Linked DNA regions of Notamacropus eugenii. The protein of the gene in region 2 purifies or fractionates together with the protein of the main gene of each other region. This does not show direct contact. Links are inferred from orthologs where the notes say so. Each region holds a gene or a part of one and is shown on either strand. Other genes may lie near its edges.

Evidence for each region. The genes of interacting proteins can lie anywhere in the genome.
Region 1: the proteins of CDK19 (region 2) and MED8 purify together in Homo sapiens (affinity purification with mass spectrometry; 6 studies listed by BioGRID and IntAct, counting the BioPlex papers as one, with this or other methods). This does not show direct contact. The link is inferred for Notamacropus eugenii from reciprocal best matches to the Homo sapiens genes CDK19 and MED8.

What each region holds. Positions count from the first base shown.
Region 1 is NC_092873.1:504,903,529-504,913,060, reverse strand, and holds the start of MED8 (mediator of RNA polymerase II transcription subunit 8), read left to right. Parts: upstream 1-5,053; 5' UTR 5,054-5,060; coding exon 5,061-5,066; intron 5,067-5,433; coding exon of another isoform or gene 5,434-5,456; exon of another isoform or gene 5,457-5,714; intron 5,715-5,802; exon of another isoform or gene 5,803-6,815; coding exon 6,816-6,934; intron 6,935-7,684; coding exon 7,685-7,829; intron 7,830-8,260; coding exon 8,261-8,401; intron 8,402-8,522; coding exon 8,523-8,604; intron 8,605-8,998; coding exon 8,999-9,250; intron 9,251-9,532. Other genes in the region: KICSTOR complex protein SZT2, read right to left, coding at 4,048-4,218, 4,355-4,534, 4,631-4,756, 4,879-5,053, 5,434-5,456. UniProt on the Homo sapiens protein: Component of the Mediator complex, a coactivator involved in the regulated transcription of nearly all RNA polymerase II-dependent genes.
Region 2 is NC_092873.1:190,842,734-190,852,530, reverse strand, and holds the start of CDK19 (cyclin-dependent kinase 19), read left to right. Parts: upstream 1-5,830; 5' UTR 5,831-6,295; coding exon 6,296-6,423; intron 6,424-9,797.

The DNA of each region.
Region 1 (9,532 bases), about 310 Mb from region 2:
CAGGAGGAGCTCAGGATGGTGCTTCCTCCACCTAACAGCCTCCCACTGAGAAGAGCTACTACGTCCCCTGGACATGGTCACTGAGCACGCCCTGCTCTGGCTATCACTCCTCTATGATGAGGAGTGCCAGGCCATTCCCCGCACTGGTTGCCTTCCTCTAGCCCCTCTCTAAATTGCTCATGCCCTTACTGAAACAGAATCGAGATGAGGTCACACCAGCCTCCAGGCAGCAAAGCAGCAGCAAGGGACTGAATGGTGGCCCTGGAGTCAGGAAGACCTGAGTTCAAATCTGGTCTCAGATACTTCCAAGACTTGTGACCCTGGGCAAGTCATTCAATCTGTTTTCCTTAGTTTCCTCATCTGTAAAATAGGGATCATAACAGGCCCTGCCTCCTCCCAGGGTGGTTGTGAGGCTCAAATGAGGTATTTATAAAACAGCAGACACAGTGCTTGGCACGCAATAGGTGGCATAAAAACACTCATACCTCTTAGTCTCCCTTGTAGGGGTTGGGGGTAGAGCAGAGGGAATGCTCAGAGACCTGGCCTGGAATTCCCTTCCTGACATTTACTAGCAACAGACAGCCCCGAGGGGACCACAAACAAGTGTCTTCACCTCTGTAAGCCTCAATTTCCCCATGAGTAAAAAGATACAAGGTGTCTTCCCTCACAAGGTGGCAGCAAGTCTCCAGAGATCACCTATAGTCAAATCCCTTGATCCTGACCAGTTACTAGTAGTGAGTGTGCTCAGGCTCCCTGGGGCTGAAAAGCGTGCCCTTCCTCCCTTCTCAACTCCTCCCTTGAATTTAGGTTGGGCACAGACACAACAAAAGCCAAGTTTATCACAGACTTAAATATGTAGAAAATGAATTCTCTTTTATTCGGAGCGTGGCCCCAAATACAACGAGCCTTAGACACACAAAGGAGAAGGGAAAGAGCCCAGTCTAGATTCTGCAGACACGCCTCCCCTTCATGCTGCAGGCTCCTAGAGGACAAGGCCTGGGATGGAGTCTTGGTCGCCCCGGTGCCTGTCACCCAAAACGTCCTTCATAAATGCTGCACAGAGGCAAATGATTCGAAGGAACATCAGAGGTTGGGGAAGCGAGCAGCTGATTAAGATGATGGGGACTGAGAAGAAGACAATGGGATTTCATTCACAAGCACAGTCCCTGCCAGGTGGAGAGAACCTTGCAAAGACTGGTTTTCACAAATTTAGGCAAAAGGGCTTGAAAGTAAAAAAGAAAGTGGAGAGAGGAAACGGCTGTCTCTGTCTTTCCACCAATAAAAACAGCCATAATGAAGACACCAATGACCCAGCCACAATCCTGGTAGGCACGGCCTCTGAAGGCCCTTTGCTGAGTAGCAGCTGTGACCTAGGAGGAAAGGCGGCCTGAGATGAAGCCCAGGACTGCAGCCTGGCTGAGGGAGGGGCAGAGGCAGGGAGGTAAGCACACCACTGAGCACTAGATCTCAAGAAAGCAAAGTCACATGAGGAGAACTCAGAGCCAGAGAACACTATTTCAGCAAAGACCACGGGCAGAGAGCAGCAACCTGGCCACAGGAGGGGACCACAGACCAACTGGGACAGAAAAAGGAAACGTTCTCAAGCCTCACACAGAAGGTACAAGGTTGTGGTGAATGGTGATTCGGATTTGTGCCAGAAAAATGTGTCAGACACACCCCTAGATTTTAGGTGAACCCCTTTCAAAGATGAAATTCAACAAAGAAAACCAGTCTATGAGGAATGAGAATCTCAAGAACAAAATTCCAGGAAAAAGAGAAAAAACACAACGTGAACAACAAGAGGGAAGTGTGAAAGGCTGTGCTTCCCCACAAGATCTCCACATGCTGCAGCAGACTGGAGGATGGGGACTGAGGATGGCTCCCAACCAGTGGCCATCCAACATCTTCTTGCAGCCCTCCTAGGACAGCGGTGCACCTCGGGGCGGTTCTTGTGCTGAGTTTGTCCCAACATGGGTTCCTGGGTCTGTCTGTAAAGGCCAATTTGGGAGAACTGCTCCCTCATCCACAGACAGGACGGCAATCCCTCAAACGATGGGAAGCAGGCAGCACTGGCATGGCCAGAATCTCGCATAGCTTTTCAAAAACATTTGCAGAAGCAAAGCATAGGAAAAAGTGGCAGAATGGCATGGCTAAGAAAGATCTGGAGGTCCTGGTGGGCTGTCAACAGTTTGGTACAGAAGCACCCACGAGGAGAGGTGGCCACAGCCATCACTGAGGACTGGTACCATATTTCAGGAAGGCCGTGACAAGGAGCAAGGCACGGAGAGGATGTAAGATGGGTTCTCCTCCATTTGGGAAGGAGCCTGAAGTAGTGGGGGCAGAGAGAGGGAGGTGGGCATAGGAGAGCTGTAGACTGGCACTGGTTGGCTCCCAAGAGCAAAGAAAGAAGCAAAACTTGCGGGGAACAGAATTGAGCTTGAAGTCAAGAACTTCTAAGCCTTGGCTTCTGTCCATACTCCAGCTGAGGGGGCTTTCTAAGGTCCATGTCGATCTGCCAAATCCCAGTTCTTGGCTGCACCAAACACTGGCTGCATCCTCTCCCTCCACAGGTCCTGGCCCTGTTCTCAAGGCTCTCCTGTTTGACCACATCTTCTCAGGCTCCCCTTCGCCTGGAAAGCACGGTTTGACCCCAGGTATCCTCTTCTCTTTGCCTCATCAGCCCCCTGGATTTCACTACCGTTTCTACATCTCTTTGGAACGCCAGTCCCAGAGCCCTGCCTGGACCTCCTGCAGGTCTCTTGAGCAAGATCTGTGCTGCGGGCCCAACTTTCTGACTTGCCCAGCCTGCCCAGGTCACCAACCTCTCCCCAGTTGATCAGGTTCACGCCCTCAGCCATTTTCACTGACTCCTCGGAGTCAGCCAGTCACCAAGCCATGTCAATCCACCCTTCACACTGTCCACGTCCATTCCCTCATCTCCCCTCATAAAGCTGTCCCCTTCACTGACCCTTCATGGAAAGAGTACACAGAGCAGCCTCCTGTTGGGCCCCATGCCTGGTCTTTCCTTCTTCCATCCATCTCTGTCACTGAAGCCAAAGGGATCCTCCTCAGTACAATCACTCTTAACCTTCCCTGCCACCTTTGTGTTCCTCCCCTTATTGTACCTGGGACCCCACGATCCTCATGACAAAAGTGAAACACCTGTATGGCACTGCAAGCCCTTCAAAACCAGCTGCAAGACTGATTTCACATCACTTCCCATTTGGCTTACTTGCTGTTACCCATACACAAGCATTCATCTTCTATGGTCCACCTCCATGCCTTTGCGCAGGCTGTGACTCATCCTAAGAATGCTCTCCTTTCTGACCTGAGCCTTTTGGAAGCCTGCCTGTCTTCAAGACTTAGGTCAATTCTTAGGGAGCTTTTCCCGCCTCCCTTGGCTGGATCCCCCTGCATACAGCAGGTGTGTAATAAGTGCTTAGTAGGGTGGGCTCACCCCCTCACTGGATGGTAACTTGTCTGAGAAGGCTGAGGAAAATCTTGTTCCAATCTAGTTGAATCAGATGCCTCAGATCCCCTGATTCTGGATGAGTCAGGGTATGGGGTCCCACCACATAGTAAGAGCAGCAAGGATAGCACAAGTGTAGGTAAAGGGGGTGGGGTGGGCAGGGGAGTATCTGGAGTACAGGCCCCAGCTATACCCACTGGGGCATAACTATGCAAGGCTAGGCGGAAAGCAAGATGTCACAACAGAATTTAGAATGCTGTATTTAAAGACATTTGATCCTCCCCACCACCCTGTGCAGTCAGTGTGGTCGCTAACCACGTTCTTCCCAGAAGTGAGTTGTGAGCGTCACCTGCCTAAGAGTCCGAGCCCTGACTCCAAGCTTGTCAGCCACCTGGGCGTGGGGGGAAGGGCACAAAACGTGGAGAAGCACTAAGACCCCCGCGCCCAGAGGCGGGGAGGGGAGGCGCTAGGACCCCCGCGCCCAGGGCTGGGAGGGGAGGCGCTAGGACCCCCGCGCCCAGGGCGGGGAAGGAGGACTCGATCCAGACGCGGCCGCGCCGCCGCAGGAGCCTCCCTACCTGGTGGGACTGCAGGCCGATGATGGAGGAGTAGGCCTGGATGGTCACGTAGATCTCTGGCTGGAAGGTGATGGAGGAGCCCGGGACTCGGAAGGGCCGCAGCAGCCCCTCCACGCATCGGGAGAGGGCCCTGAATACCTCGTCAAAGAGAATCTCTCCGGTGGAGTCATCCTGGGGGGAGGGGGCAGGTCAGAGAATGGGGGTGCTGGGCAGGGGGAGTGGGGTGGGGGAAGGGGAGCCCCCCAGCGGCCGGGGGGAGGGGCAGGACCCCCCACCCCCCGCAGCCGAGGGCTGGGGGGGGCCTCACCACGATGCCCGTGGACGGGCTCAGGTCCAGCTCGATGACAAAGCGGTAGCGCCACGCCAGGAAGGTGACGCGCGTGGACGGCACCAGCAGAAGCGCCCGGCCCGGGGGCCCCAGCGGCTCGTCCGGCTGCCAGCCCGGCGGGAGGACGCTGAGCACGGCCAGCTCCGGCTCGGAGCGCAGCTGCGGGGAGGGGGCGGGGCGGTCAGGGGCCGCGGGGGCCAGGGGGCTGCCCGCCCCCCGTTCGCCCCCCGCCCGCCCCGCCCCGCCCCCACTCACCAGCTCCTCGGCCGAGGCGGCCCGCACCGGCTGGCGGAGGTGGTTCAGGAACCAGGCCAGGCGCACGTTGCGGGAGATGCGGTGGCCCTTGCGCATCAGCAGGAAGACGTGCGCGGCCTCGTCCACCTGCGCGGGGAGCTCGGCACTCAGAGACCCGGCGCCCCGGGGGTTGCGGGGGGCCGCTCTGCCCCCAGGCCTGGCCCCGCACCCACGCCCTGAGCTCCCGGGACCGCCCGCCCCAGCCTTACCTCGGCCGACTCCGCCGCCATGGCTGTCAGGTCCCGGGTGACCTCTGACCCGCCGCGACCCGGAAGCGCTCGGCCGTCGCGTCGGAAGCTCCCGGAGAAGTCGCGGGGTTCGACGACGGTGCTTCCGGAAGCGGAAGCTAGGGGGCGGTACCCCGGAATGGGAAGTTCCTGCAGCCTACAAGATGCAGGTAAGCGCTGGACTGACGGTAGCGGGGGGAAGCGAGGCGGCCTCGGGTCCGAGATCCCGCGGAGGAGACCTTGAAGGCCAGGCCCAAGAGCTCGCGGCGCTGCAGCGAAGCTGGGGGCCCCCCGGGGCGTAGGAGCGCGTACACCGGGGAGTGTCTTGGGGTGTGGGCGGACCCGTAGCCCGATGGGGCCGCGACGTTCTCTACCCTGCCCTCAATTTACGTACAGACACTGAGGCCTAGGAAGGCACCCTTGAGTGAGCCAGGGTCTGCCATATATGCAGCGAGCCTACCCCGCCTTTGCCCCGGGCGGGGGGAGGGGGAGGGGGCGTGGGGTGGGGGAGGGGACGTGGAAGGGAGAAGAGCTTACTGAAACCTGCAGCGGGAAGGCATTCGAGGAAGGAGGGTCTGCCGAGACAAAGGCTCAGAGGCAAGAGGTCCAGCCGGACCCACGTGTCTCTGGGTAAAATCATCCACAATGAGCCTGGAGAAGTAGGTGGGAGCCTAGCTAGGAGGGGCTTTAAGATCCAGCCCGGGGAGCGTCTGTGCCCTGGGCCACTCTCTCCGGAGGGTGTGAAGGGAGGCCGGACCGTGGCATCAGCCAGTGTAGGCTGTCGTGGGAGGACAGAGGAGCAAAAGGGTCACCCCTCCCCCTCCTCCCCCCCCCCCCAAGCTCCTTGAGGGCCCCGGTCAGGGACCGTGCCCAGGGAATGGTCTGATTGGTCGTCAGGGCTCACACCTGGCTTAGGAGGATCCGTGTGCCGAGGGCTGGAGATGTCCTGAGGGGCAGGGCTCGGGTGTGGCCGGGAGGGGAGCTCCCACATGCCGAGGGCTGACCTACCAAGGGCAGACTTAGAGAAAGCAAACTCTGGCGGGGGGAGGGATGGAGCCTTTCATTCTCTGCCCTCCAGGTATCAAGGAGTGGTCAGGATCCCACAGGGACCCAGGGACCAGGGTGGGGGCAGGCTGTCCTGGTCCTGTGTCACTGAGCAGGAGCATCCAGGCTAGCCTGACAGGCTGCCTCAGGAGGGGCCCCCAAGGTCAGGGCCTGGTGCAGACACCCCAGGGATGCCAGGGTGTGGTAGGCCCTAGAAGAAATGAGGTGCTGCTGATAAGCTAGGGGCGGGAGAAATGCAGGTGGGGGGCAGGATGCAGCGTGTGGCATGCCAATCCCCAGGGTGGCCCCTAACCCGCCTCTGGGTGACCGCCTCCATCCTGCCCTGAATGGGATGGCCCACCTCTGCCCTGTCTCTGCAGGTGCTCCCCGTGGTCACCAGAGATTCAGGATGGAGTGCCCACACAGTCTCTCACCATAGCCTTGTTCCTGCCTGGAGCACGCTTCGTGCCCAGGGGCCCTCTGGGGATCCTCTTGTGCCACATGGTACCAGTGCAATAGAGGCAGCATGTCTTGGGCAGTCAGCAGCACTCACGCAGACCCTGGGGAAGGGGCAGACACCCTTCCCTCCCCTCCTGGCTTTTCTGCATCAAGTCTTCACCAGGCCTGGGGCTCTGGGCTCTGTCCTGGGATTTGCCCATTAGGACCCTAATAGGACTCAGAAGGAAAAGGCAGCCTGGTGCAGTGAGGGTGAGACTTGTGTCCCTGCCAGCTAGCCCCTCCTGCTCACCCCTCCCTGGGGCTTCTCAGTCTTCTCATCAGACACCAGGTGCCCCATGGACTCTAAGTCGAGATCTGTGTCTGGCACACTGGGCCCTGACCACCTTAGGCTGACTGGCTGGTCTCTGTCCATGCAGAGGGAAGAGAAGCAGCTGGAGGCATCAGTGGACGCACTGCTGAATCAAGTGGCAGATCTGAAGAGCTCCTTGGGAAGTTTTATTTGCAAGTTGGAGAACGAGTATGACCGGCTTACCTGGTAAGGGCAGGTGGGCGGAACGGCCTTAGAGCTCAGCAGGAGGCAGGCATGCTGCTCCTGAGCCTCCTCAGTCACAGTTTAATTTCCCAGCTTCTGGGCCCCCCCGGAGGACTTGAGCCCCTCGTGCAAGTCAGGGCTGGAGAAGGGTTAAGGCACTTGTGTCCAGAGAAGATGAAGCTCCTTAGACAAAGAGCTGGGGAACCCAGTCAGCACAGACTCCCCTCTGTCCCCAGATGCTGGCAGTCCACTGGTATGAGTGAAGGGCAAAGGCATCACTGAGGCAGCAGGAAAGATGCGTCATTTTACTTTGCTGTCTGCATTCTCCTCTTCCAGTTTTCCATACATTGGGTGCCATAGGAAGGCCAGTCCATGGGAAGGCCCACTATGTTTCCGTTGGCAAGTAGAGGCTAGTTCATACGTTAAAAGAGGTCTTTTGGAGACAGCATGGTCTAATCAGGGTCTTGACCTATAGAACTTCTCTCCTGAGGAGGCTTAGTATAGGCTATCCAGGCCTTGCTAGCTTTAAGAGCCTTTTCTTTTCCTGCAGCCATGTCAGTCTCAGTCCCAGATTGTGCATCTGTTCTAGGTGGGCCTGGGTGTAAAGGGTCATCACATCTCTGAATCCTAAGGCTGCATCTCTGTCTTTCTCTGAAGGGCTCTCAGGCAGCTGTTACTTCCCCGAGGGGGTCCCATGGGTCAGAGCCCACATTTTTAGCCAGGCCCTATTCCCATCTCTTCCACTCCAACTAGGCCTTCAGTCCTGGACAGCTTTGCTCTGCTCTCTGGACAGCTGAACACTCTCAACAAGGTCCTCAAACATGAGAAGACCCCATTGCTCCGGAACCAGGTTATCATTCCTCTGGTGCTGTCCCCGGACCGAGATGAGGAGCTCACGGTGAGAAGCAGGGCCTGGGAGAGCACAGCGAGAGCAACACATTCCCTCTAGTCTCTATCCAGACCACCCCTCACCCCAGCCACTGGGGCTCTTTGCCCCTTTCTCCACTTAGCTGGTGGCATTTGCTTTGGGGCGCTTGTTAAAAGATAGCCTGGGGTATGGATGGACCAGGGACCAAAGTGCTTTTTTCTTGAGTAGAGAGTATAGTTTTTTTTTTATTAATTTATTTTTACTTTTCAACATTCTTTTCCACAAGATGAGTTCCAGATTTTCTCCCCACCTCTCCCCTCCCCTCACCTCAAGATGGTGGGCACTCTGACTATCCCTTCCCCTAATCTGCCCTGCCTTCTATCACAACCCCATCCCCTCTCTTATCCCATTCCCAAGTAGAGGATGTAGTTAACATAGCAAAGCCTTTGTGCTTATGACAGCGCCAGACAGAGGGCCGGGTTCCTGTCTTCAGTCATGAGGTGGTCCCTGACCACCTGAGAACCAAACCAGACCCAGAGGTGGAGGAACAGGAGAAGCAACTGACCACAGACGCTGCTCGAATCGGCACTGATGCTGCCCAGGTAACAGAAGCCAGTGCTCTGCCCCAGGGATGGGGGGCTTGGGAGGCATGGGTGCAGTCTGCTCTTCAGGCAGCCCTCAGTCCTGATCCTGCTCACCTCAGTGTTTCTGCATGTTTTATAGAAGCAAATACAGACCTTGAATAAAATGTGCTCAAACCTACTGGAAAAAATCAGCAAAGAGGAACGAGAGTCAGAAAGTGGAGGTGAGTGTGTTTGGCAAGGTGGGAACTGGTCATCATGGGGGAGGGAAGATTGGGAAGGAGGGAAAGGGGCATAGACATGGAAAATGGAGGTATGGAGGTATAGAGGCTACAGTGGGGGCATGATGGCAAAGTCTCGAGAGGAAAGGAAAGATGGAGGAAAGCGAATGTGGAGAGTGACCTGGGATTGATGGTGAAGCCACAGGGGACAATTGTTATGGAACGACCCTCATGGGAGCCCACGTGTGCTGGCCTGAGGCAACCACAGGGGCTGCTGCTCCCATGCCTGAGCTGTGAGGTGTCTTAGGGTATTGGGGCAGTCAGAAGCCCCCTCAGGTTCTTGGGCCTGGCTCTTCTCGTCCTGCCCACTTCTCAGTGCCCTGGCTTTCCTTTCTAGGTCTCCGTCAGAATAAACAGACCTTCAACCCCACAGACACCAATGCCCTGGTGGCTGCAGTTGCATTTGGTAAGGGTCTGTCCAACTGGAGATCTCCTGGCACCAGTGGCCCTGGCCAAGCAGGCCAGTCTGGGGCAGGAACCCTCCTGACTGGAGCTTCTGGCATGCAGCAAGTTCAGATGACAGGCACATCCAGTCAGCAGCAGAGCACTCTGCTTAGTGGAGTACAGATGGCGCAAGCTGGCCAGCCAGGTAAGAGGAATGGCGAGCAAATGCATGGAGGCAGAAAAGTGCAGTGCCTACAGAGGGGCTGGCCCAGTGGAATCCAAGCTGCTAGGAAAACTCAGTTGTAGTCTCCAGGGCTTGAAGTTGGGGAGCACTGTGCTCAGTCTGGGTCCCAGCTTAGGAAGGCAGTGACCAAGGACAGGAAGTGTAGCTTGACCTCATTTTATTCTTTGTTGATGCTTCAGCTGTTTGCTTCACCCTTGAGGCCTCCCTTCTGACAAGAGAAAATCACCCCAGACCCAGCAATTA
Region 2 (9,797 bases):
TCATGAATGAGCACTATGAGGAATTAGAAATGGTAAAGATAAAAGAACATCAACTTAACTAAATCAAGCATATAGAAAGGAAGTCTATGCTGGAGACAACATAATTTTGAGAATATTAAGAGAACAATCCTCAAGATATCTGAAAGAAGGAAGGTTATCAAAGACTCAAAAAAATTATGGTGTCATGTATTGATAATGCATTTTTGCTTATTGTTAATATAATTTTTCTTCTTAATGGGAAGATCTTTCCCATCCATTAATAGGCCCATGTGATCTGCTTAAATCACCTGGAGTTGAGATCACAAAGTATAATGCCTCTATTTGTTCCAGGATCCATGGCCATTCAGATTGTAAGGCCTAGGATCCTGGAAGAATGGAATGTAATGGCAAGCAAAGTAGGATATTTTGCTGTTTTTGTTTTAGTATAATCAAGTGTCTCTGCCTGAATCTTGCCTTTGATTGAATTAATCAAGAGTCTTTAACTAGAAACATTATGTATATTTGTGCAGTTAATTATTTTAATGTGATTAAAGAAGATCTTTTCCACCCATTAATGGGCCTGCCAGTTAAGGAGAGTTTGATCAGGGAAGATTTGTAGGAAGGCCCACACCTTTTGTTAATGAGGCATTGGTTCTTCAGGGTTGTGATGCCCTCTGGCTCTGAAAATGTATAAGTACTGTGAGGTGAGGTTTTATGTTGGGGCTTACTATTTGGGAGTGTTTATTTGGCCACATGATACTCTGGGCAGCTGCTAAGGAGCCCCCCCCTTTTGAAAATCCAGATGTAATAGCAATTTAAATGGAAAGCTCTTTGTCATTCATTAATAGGCCCATATGATCTGCTTAAATCACCTGGAAGCCTAAGTCACCTGTGGTGGGAGGAGCTTGCTGAATAGGCGGAACAGGAAGGGTGAAGCAGAACTGGAGAAAGTGAGTGAGTATGATTGGACTCAGAGGAGAGAGGATTCAGGCAGGCAGGTACAGGAGACTCAGGCTCTCCAGTCTTGCTTGTGAGAAGGCTGTGGTAGAGGTGGGGGAAAGTGGGGGGGAGGCAGTGGGTGGGTGAGGTGAGTGGGGAGGGAGTGGTAGTCTTGGAAATGGTTTTGCCCTTTGCAGTGATCACATTTATTAACTTCTTGGTCACCATAACAGATTTTGCTTTCTGGTTTGGGGATTTGGCTTTCTGGTGTCTAAATAAATGTTTTTCTTCTACCATCTATATGGAGAGTCTGTTATATATATGCTGGCATATTCATAGTCACCACCAGTGAATATTGCCTTGGAAATATAGCTTCTCTCTCTGGTAACTATGTATGTATGTAATGGTCAGACAGTTAGATCTGTCTGTTGATCTATGAGGTATATATTGCTTATGTCAGGCAGCTAGAAGCCCTTTCTGTTGATTTTGATTTCTCTGTATTTCCTCTGAAGTTCAGTGTGTGGAATTTTCTCCCTGAACTAAGTGAATGATACATGTGTTTGATTAAAGTGATTATTGATCTCTTTTAGTTCTAAAAGGAAAGTTACTTTCCTTTCAGAAATGCAGATTTAAGAACCTGTGATAGCAGCTCCTCCTATGTATGTTGGGGTGTTTGTTTTTACATGTCATTACTACTGAAAAAGGCAATGAAAAATATCCATAAGTCTAAATTCATATTCCTACTTCCCCATTTCCACAAAATCTCTGTGAAAGTAATAGACATACTTATTGAAGGTATGAGAATAGAACAAGAGGTCTCTAACAAATGATATTCAATGGCCACAGTTTTATATATTCACACAATTGAATGAAAGGTATTGAGACTAGAAGATCCTACTGTGCTCATTTTTCTTGTTTATAAGAAAAAAGGACAGTCTATGATCCTATGATGATCCTATTTTATGAAGTAGAGCAAAATACAAAATAAAGATTCTCCTAAAGATATTTCCCCTGCCTTTTTTCTCCTCATCAGGAACAGTGATCCTTCCAATTTGTCCCTTATTTCCACTCCCAACTTAAATTTACTCAGCTTTGGAACTCCATCCTGCAACTGCATTATCCTCAGTGTGATTATGTGAAAAATTTAGCTAGTCCATTGTACATAACTGGCTCCAGATTCTGCATGACATTTTATCCAGTCATCTACCAGAAAAAGAGGGCCTATTCAGTATAAGAATCTTGCCATTTATTCTGCTACTACGGACATATTGGAATGGATGGGGTGTTCTAGGATAACTAGGATAACTATCACCTTTGATGTGAAGGCTTGCCAGGCCATCCACTTGCCATTTCACCCGACTCTCACCTGTGGTTCCAAGAAGCTGTAGCATGCCCAGTGACCACATCTGATAAACTGTCTCAGTAAATAGGCTAAACCAGATAGAGGTTAACCAACAGGCCTCAAACCTGTCGTGGGGTAAGGGAATGTGAAGACTCCTCTCTCTTCCTCCTCTGGAATGGAACAATTTGTTCTGAAGCAGGTACTTTGGAGTGCTTAGAGCTTGGTCAGACATCGAAGATGCCAGGGTCATCCACTGTACTCCAGGCCATTGTTAGTGGTCCTGACTTTGATCTCATCATCTCACCTCAGACACTTGACACTCACTAGCTGTGTGACCTTGGGCAAGTCACTTAACCCCAACTGCCTCATCCTGGGTCATCTCCAGTCATCCTGATGAATATCAGGTCACTGGATTCAGATGGCTCTGGAGGAGAAGTGAGGCTGGTGACCTGCACAGCCCTCCCTCACTCAAAACAAAGTCAAGAGCAAGTCATGTCATTATTTCTCTGATGGCATGGTCTTCTTTGGTAAAGAAGGACGAACACACACAGGAACTTTGATAACTCTGGGAAGAGAGTGAGGCTGCTGACTGTGAGCAACTCTGCCTCACTTAAATCCAATTGATATGCAAGTCAAGATATCACCTGTGATGACATTGTCCTCTTTGAAAATGAAGGACAAAGAACAACAATGGGCACACCACTCTTCATTTCTTTCCAACTCCTGGTCTTGAAACAGGAATCAAGTCAAAGCTACCTTAGCTTCTGGAAAAGGTGTGACAGTCTACATCCCTGTGACCTTACTCCAATCCCTTTGGCCTGCAAATAAAAACTTCCTTCCTTTTCCCTCACTTTCCTATATGTACAGTATACCCCTATCAGAAGGTAAGCTTCTTGAAGGTGGGGCCTGTCTCTCTTATCTGTATCTTCAGCACTTGGCACAGGTCTGATACAGAGTAGGTATTTAATTGCTTTTTTAATTCATTCATCCATTCATTCGTTCATTCATCCAGCAAATTATCTCCCAAGCATACATTAAAATTACACAAGATACTTAAAAGATGTAGCTAGAAATAAATTTACTCAATATAATAACATTCAATAACAGCAAATATGGCAGAAAAACAAGCAGATACATGCTTGCCAAAGGTGTTTGCCATAGGCATGGTAGTTGTGTAGCACAATAGAATACAAGTGTAAGAGGAATTCCCTATATATAGACAGAAAGGTATTCCAGATGCTCTTTTTTGAGGATATTATTGTCTATTGGTTAGTTCATCAGCTTCTATGTGTATAATTATTCAACTCAGCAAGCATTTATTATATACCTATTACTACCAAAGTGCCAAGTACTGTGCTAAGTATAGGGATACAAAAAAAGGCAAAAAACCCCCCAACAAAATAAAAAACAAATATAGGTCCGGCTCTTAAGGAGCTCAGTCTAATGGTGGTGGTAGTGGGGACAACATGAAAATGACTGAGGACAAATGAGATGTATATGGGAGCAATTGGAGATAATCAGTAGAGGGAAGGCTTCTTGAAGAAGGCTGGATTTTAGTTGAGACCTGGAAGCTACGTAAGCCAGGAGAATTCTAGTCATGGAGAACAGTGAAAATGCAGGCTGGATATGGAGTTGTTTTTTTGTTTTCTTTTGTGACACATAGCAACCAGGTTAGTTTCTTTGTATCAAAGAGCATGTGACCAAACTGGCCTTCTCTCTGTTCTTCACATTCACCTTCTGTCTCTGTGTTATCTCCCATGCCTGAAATGTATTATCTCCTTACCACTCTTCACAGAATTCCTCTCCTCCTTCAAGACGAAGCTTAAGCATCATCTTCTAAAGGAAGCCCTTCATGATTCTCCATCCCCACACCAGCCCACCAACGTTTAGTACTCTTCCTAAGAAACTATTTTGTGCATATTTGTATATATTTTACTTACATATAGAGAAGTACTTAATTTCTGTCCCATTAGAATGCAAGATCTTTGAGAGTGGGGATTTTCATTTTTTTGGTATTTGTAGCCCCATCATTTAGCAAAGAATCTGGCACACAGGAAGCACTTTATAAATGCTTGCTGATGGATAGATTGTGGACTGATTCAAGCCCTGGAAGATTGAAGGGCCTCCTATAGGATGTGCAATCCCTCAAAACTATCCATGGTCAGGTAGGTAGCTCAATGTGTAGAACGCAGGCCTGAAGTCAGGAAAACCTGAGTTCAAATCCAGTCTCAGACACTAGCTATGTGGCTCTGGGCAAGTCACTTAACTGTTTGCCTCAGTTTCTTCATCTGTAAAATGAACTGGCAAACCACTCCAGTATCTCTGCCAAGAAAACCCTTGGGGTCATGAAGCCTAAGACAAGACTGAACAACCTTGAGGTAACAGGGAGCCACAGGAATTTGAATGGGAAGGTGATATGGTCAAACCTGTAACTTAGGAAGATCATTTTGATAGCTGTGTGAATTGGAGCGGGGAGGGACTTGACCCACGGAGACCATCAGGGTATTCTAAATAGTCCAGGTGTGAGGTGCCGAAGTTCTGCATCAGGGTGGTGATGGACTCAAAGGAGAGAAGACGGTATATGAGAGGTGTCAGGGAGGTAGAATCCACACATTTTTGTACAGATAGTTCCTTTTTTAGCCTTTAAAATATTTTAGGCATGGAGCCCTGACGATGTAATTGGTGGGTTCAAAAATATAATCAGTTTTGTCACTATAATCCTGCTGCGAGACTGCTCTTCAAAATATATGCACCAATCTACCTACAAGTCCATCGATAATTCGTTAAAGTGTAAGAAATCCTCTTCACAATTCCTGGGGGTAATTCGGCATTGGGCCTAGACGATGCCTGACCTTTTCATTCTACCTTTCACTGTGGTTGCAAACGGCAGCATCCTCTGTTGTACAGTCATTGTCTTCCCGAGGCCGGGCGCTTTGGTCGGCTTAGGCTTCACGTTAGAAGCCGCACCTGTTAGAAGAAAGGAGGGCAGGCCGGCCCTCGTCGTTAACCCTCACCTCCCACGGCTGAAAGCTCAAGGAAACTGCTGAGGGCTCCACATTTGAACTGCGGTTTTGGCTTTGCCATGGAACGGGAATAGCCTATGGGGAAGGACCGTGTAGAAGCATCCACCAACCAGAAGCAAGAATCAGGCCCGAAGGCGGGACTCCAGCAGACCAATTAGAGACGAGTAGCCTAGCCCCGGCCAGTCAGACGTAGGACTGAGAGGAGAAATAGGCGGGCCAATTGCCTTAGAAAATAAACAACAGTCCGCCGTAGAGCATCTTTAACTGACGTGCACTCTCGACTGCTCTGAAACCTCAGAAGGGAGTACAGGTTTAGCTAAAACGCTCTTCACCCTTCCCATTAGCGAACCGATTCGTTAGTGTCGACACGATGGCCTAGCTGCCTCTTGTTCCTGCTAGCTTAGGGAAAGCAAACTACAACTTTTTCGGGTTGTCACCACATTTAGAAACACTAACCCTCTCACCAAAGTGGGAGTGGCGGCAGGGAGCAGGCGCGGTCACCGGGTGCGGAGGTGGGGGTGTTGGGGAGGAGGGGCAGCCTCCGCCCGGGGCATTCTGGGATTTGTATTTCTCCGAAGGACAGGTTGCAAAGTTTCCACTACCTCCTGGACTACAGCCCCCAGAAACCCTAGCGGCTCTCAGGGGGCGGGCGGTCTGATCGTTAATGAGCTCGAGGAAGCCGCGGTGCGGCCCACCAGGTTCCAAAACACGGAAATGAAGGAGGGAGGCGGGACTGACGGTGCCTGCGGGAGCCGCCGCGGAGGAGAAGGAGGAGGAGGAGGAGGAGGAGGAGGCCGCCGCGATTGCGGCGGTACTCCGTGCTGAAGGCGAGGGACGCTCGAATTGGGGAAACCGAAGGGGGGGCGGTGCGCCAGTGCGCGCGCCCGGGAGCCAGGCGTCTGTGAGGGGAGAAGTGGAGCGGCGGGCCGCGGGAGGAAGCGGCGGCGGCGGAGTGAGTGAGTGAGCGGCGGCGGCCCCCGCGTCCCCCGCGCCTCTATGGGGGAAGCAGACAATGGATTATGACTTTAAGGCGAAGCTGGCGGCGGAGCGGGAGCGGGTGGAGGATCTGTTTGAGTACGAGGGCTGCAAAGTGGGACGCGGCACCTACGGTCACGTCTACAAGGCGAGGCGGAAAGATGGGTAAGAGCCGCCTGAGGATGCGAGGGGTTGCTGCGGGGACGAAGAGGGGGGTGAAGGCGTTCGCGCGGAGCAGCCTCCGGCCCCGGGGGTCCCCAGCTCGGGCCCGGGCCCGGGGCGGGGGGTGTGGAATCGCACCCGGGGTGCCTTGGGTGGTGGCCGGCGGCTCGGGGCTCCCAGCGCTCGGTCTCTCTGTCCTCCGGTCCCGCTCCTGCCCCGCGCGCGGGAGTCGCCGCCGCCGCGTCCAGCGAGCGTCTCCCCCTCCCCGCTCCCGGTGCGCGATGCCGGCGGAGAGGCGCCCGTGCGGACCTGGCTGGAGGGAGGAGTCTGCAGGCTCCGGTCTCCTGGGGAGACGGCGAGGGGCGGGCAGAGCGCGGCGCGGGCGGCTCGGCTGCTGCTGCAGCCTCGGGCACGGCTGTGACGGGCGTCCCTCGACCTCCAATCGGCGAAGGCTCCCTCTCCCGGGGGTGGGGGTGGGGGCAGTTCAAACCCGGCTGCGGGAGCCTCGGGCAGAGGCGTCCGTCCCGGGGTGGGGTGTGGATTTTTATCTCTGTCTTCTACGGGAAGGTCCTCGATTCTGGGAGTTACCAGGCTGCTGCTTGGGGTCATCTAAATGAGAGGAGAAGAGCTCCCCCCAAAAACAAAACAAGCTACTCTCCTGAATAATAACAGCTGGTTAGTTCTATGGTGCTTATTATGTGCCAAGCTCTTTACAACTATCCTGTTTGATCCTGGGAATCAGGTGCTGTTGTAATAGCGATAATAACAACAATTGTTGATAATAACAGCCAGCATTTATATAGTTTGCTGTGTGCCAGGTAACCGGGATAAGCTCTTTACAGTTGTCTCATTTGATTCTCACAACAGCCCTGGGTATTAGGTGCTGTTTTAGTAATGGTAATAGCGACAACTAACATTCATCTAAGGCTTATCGTGTGCCCAGTAACTGTGCTAATCCCTTTACAATTATCATCTCATTAGATCCTCACGACAACCTTGGGAGGTAGGTGATGTTAATGATAATAATAATGATAATGGCTAACACTTATATAGCTTACTATGTGCCAGGTTACTTGGGCTGATCTCTTTTTAATTATCATTACATTGATCCTCATAACAACCCTGGGAGATAGATGTTTTTCTAATAGTAATAATTATAGCAGCCAACACTTATGTAGTGCTTGCTACTTGCCAGGCACTGTGCTTAAGTACTTTATAATTATCTGGTTTGAGCTTCACAACAACCTTATGAGCTAGGTGCTATGGTGATAATAATAATAATAGCAATAACATTTATATTACACATTTATGTGCCAGGTGGGGCAGCTAGGTGGTGCAGTGGATAGAGCACCAGTGCAGGAGTCAAGAGGACCTGAGTTCAAATCTCACCTCAGACACTTGACACTCACTAGCTGTGTGACCTTGGGCAAGTCACTTAACTCCGACTGTCTCATCCTGGGTCATCTCCAGTCATCCTGATGAATATCTGGTCACTGGATTCAGATGGCTCTGGAGGAGAAGTGAGGCTGGTGACCTGCACAGCACTCCCTCACTCAAAACAAAGTCCAAGTGCAAGTCATATCATTATTTCTCTGATGGCACGGTCTTCCTTGTCAATGAAGGACAAACACATGTGCCAGGTAACTGTACTGAGCACTTTACAGTGATATTAATTTGATCCTCACAACAACCTTGTGAGATACGTGCTGTTATAAGAATAATAACTAATATATAGGGCTTGCTGTGTGGCAGGTGCTTTATAATTACTATCCCATTTTAACTTCATAATAATCCTAGGAGGAAGGTGCTGTTATCCCTATTTTACAGATGAGGAAACTGAGGCAAACAGGTAAAGTGACTTACCCATGGTCACACAGCTAATAAGTGTCTCAGCTTGGATTTGAACTCCAGTTTTCTGATGCCAGGACTAGTACTCTATCCAATGTGCCTCCTAGCTTCCTTTCTCCTTTCTCATCTCTTCCCCTCCCCCCTTGGATTCTGCTATTATGCTCTGTTCTTAAATTTTAGATTGTGATTAAATCTTTACTAAAACCCTACCTTCCTTTCCTGGATCTCCTAAATTCTGGAGCCTTCCCTATGTCCAGTCATTTTGTACATAGTTGTTTGCATGTTACCTCTCTGATTAGACTGTTTCATTTCTAGATTAGTTTATTGAGGGCAGCTACCTCTTTTTTTACTTTTCTTGGTATCCCCAGTGCTTAACACAGTGCCTAACAAATTATGGGAGCTTAATAAATGCTTTTGGATTTGACTGGGATTGTGAAACATCCTCAGAGAGTGTCTTTTAGATTTAAATTACTGAGGTAGGGGGAGCAGCATGGTGGCTGATTGTATTTGTCCTTCATTCTCAAAGAAGACCTTGACATCAAGATGTTGACAAGACTTGCAGTTGACTTTGATTTGAATGAGGGAGGGCTGTGCAAGGATACTAACCTCACTTTCTCATCCTGAGCCATCTGGGTGCAGTGGTCAGATATTCATCAGGACCTCTGGAGATGGCCCAGAATGCAATGTGGGACCCTGGCCACTTGTGGCAAAGGTCTTATCAGATTCTTACTTTGAGTGAGATATATCCATTCATTGAATAGGCCTCTTTGATTAGTTACTCCAGGCATGGCCCCTTCAATAAATAAAACAAAAACAAAATAAAACTGAGAGGGGAAGACCCTCAGGGTTTCTGGGTAAAAGAGAAACAGTTACTATTTAGTATTTACATTCAGGGAAAGAGCTGAGGTGAAATTCAACCTCTGTCATCTGCTGGTTGTATGACCCTGGGCCAGGCACTTAATCTCAGTCAGCCTCAGTTTCCTCTTTTGAAATGTATATATAATAATAGCAACTACATCACAGGGTTATTGTTAGGATTAAATGAAATGACATGCAAAGAGCTTTGCAAATTGTAAAGTTCTCATAAATGCTAGCTAGCTGTCTTCATCTCCTGACAAATAACCTTTAATCTGCTTCACCTTGGGTTACTTTGTGCCAGCATGGATAGGCCTTGTTTTTTTATTTTAAATTGGTGGGGAAAGTTGTGTAAAAATGGTTGCTGTACATGGATATTCTATACTGGGTGAAGAGTTTATATAGATGCTACCTACCCATGTACAATTACTCTCATTTTTTTGTAGTATTAGTAAAAACCCAAGATTCTTAGGGAGAGCTAAAGAATGTCTTTATGCCTGAGCCCATTTAATGTTGTTTGTAATTATGTACTTTTCAAGAGGGGAAAGATGTGGAAAACTGAACTCTTAAAATATCTGTAAATAAGTTGAAGATATATCAGCTCTCCTGAAGTTTGTCAACTTTATACATAAGAATTCTAAAGACAATAATATTGTAGTTATTTAAGGTTTAGA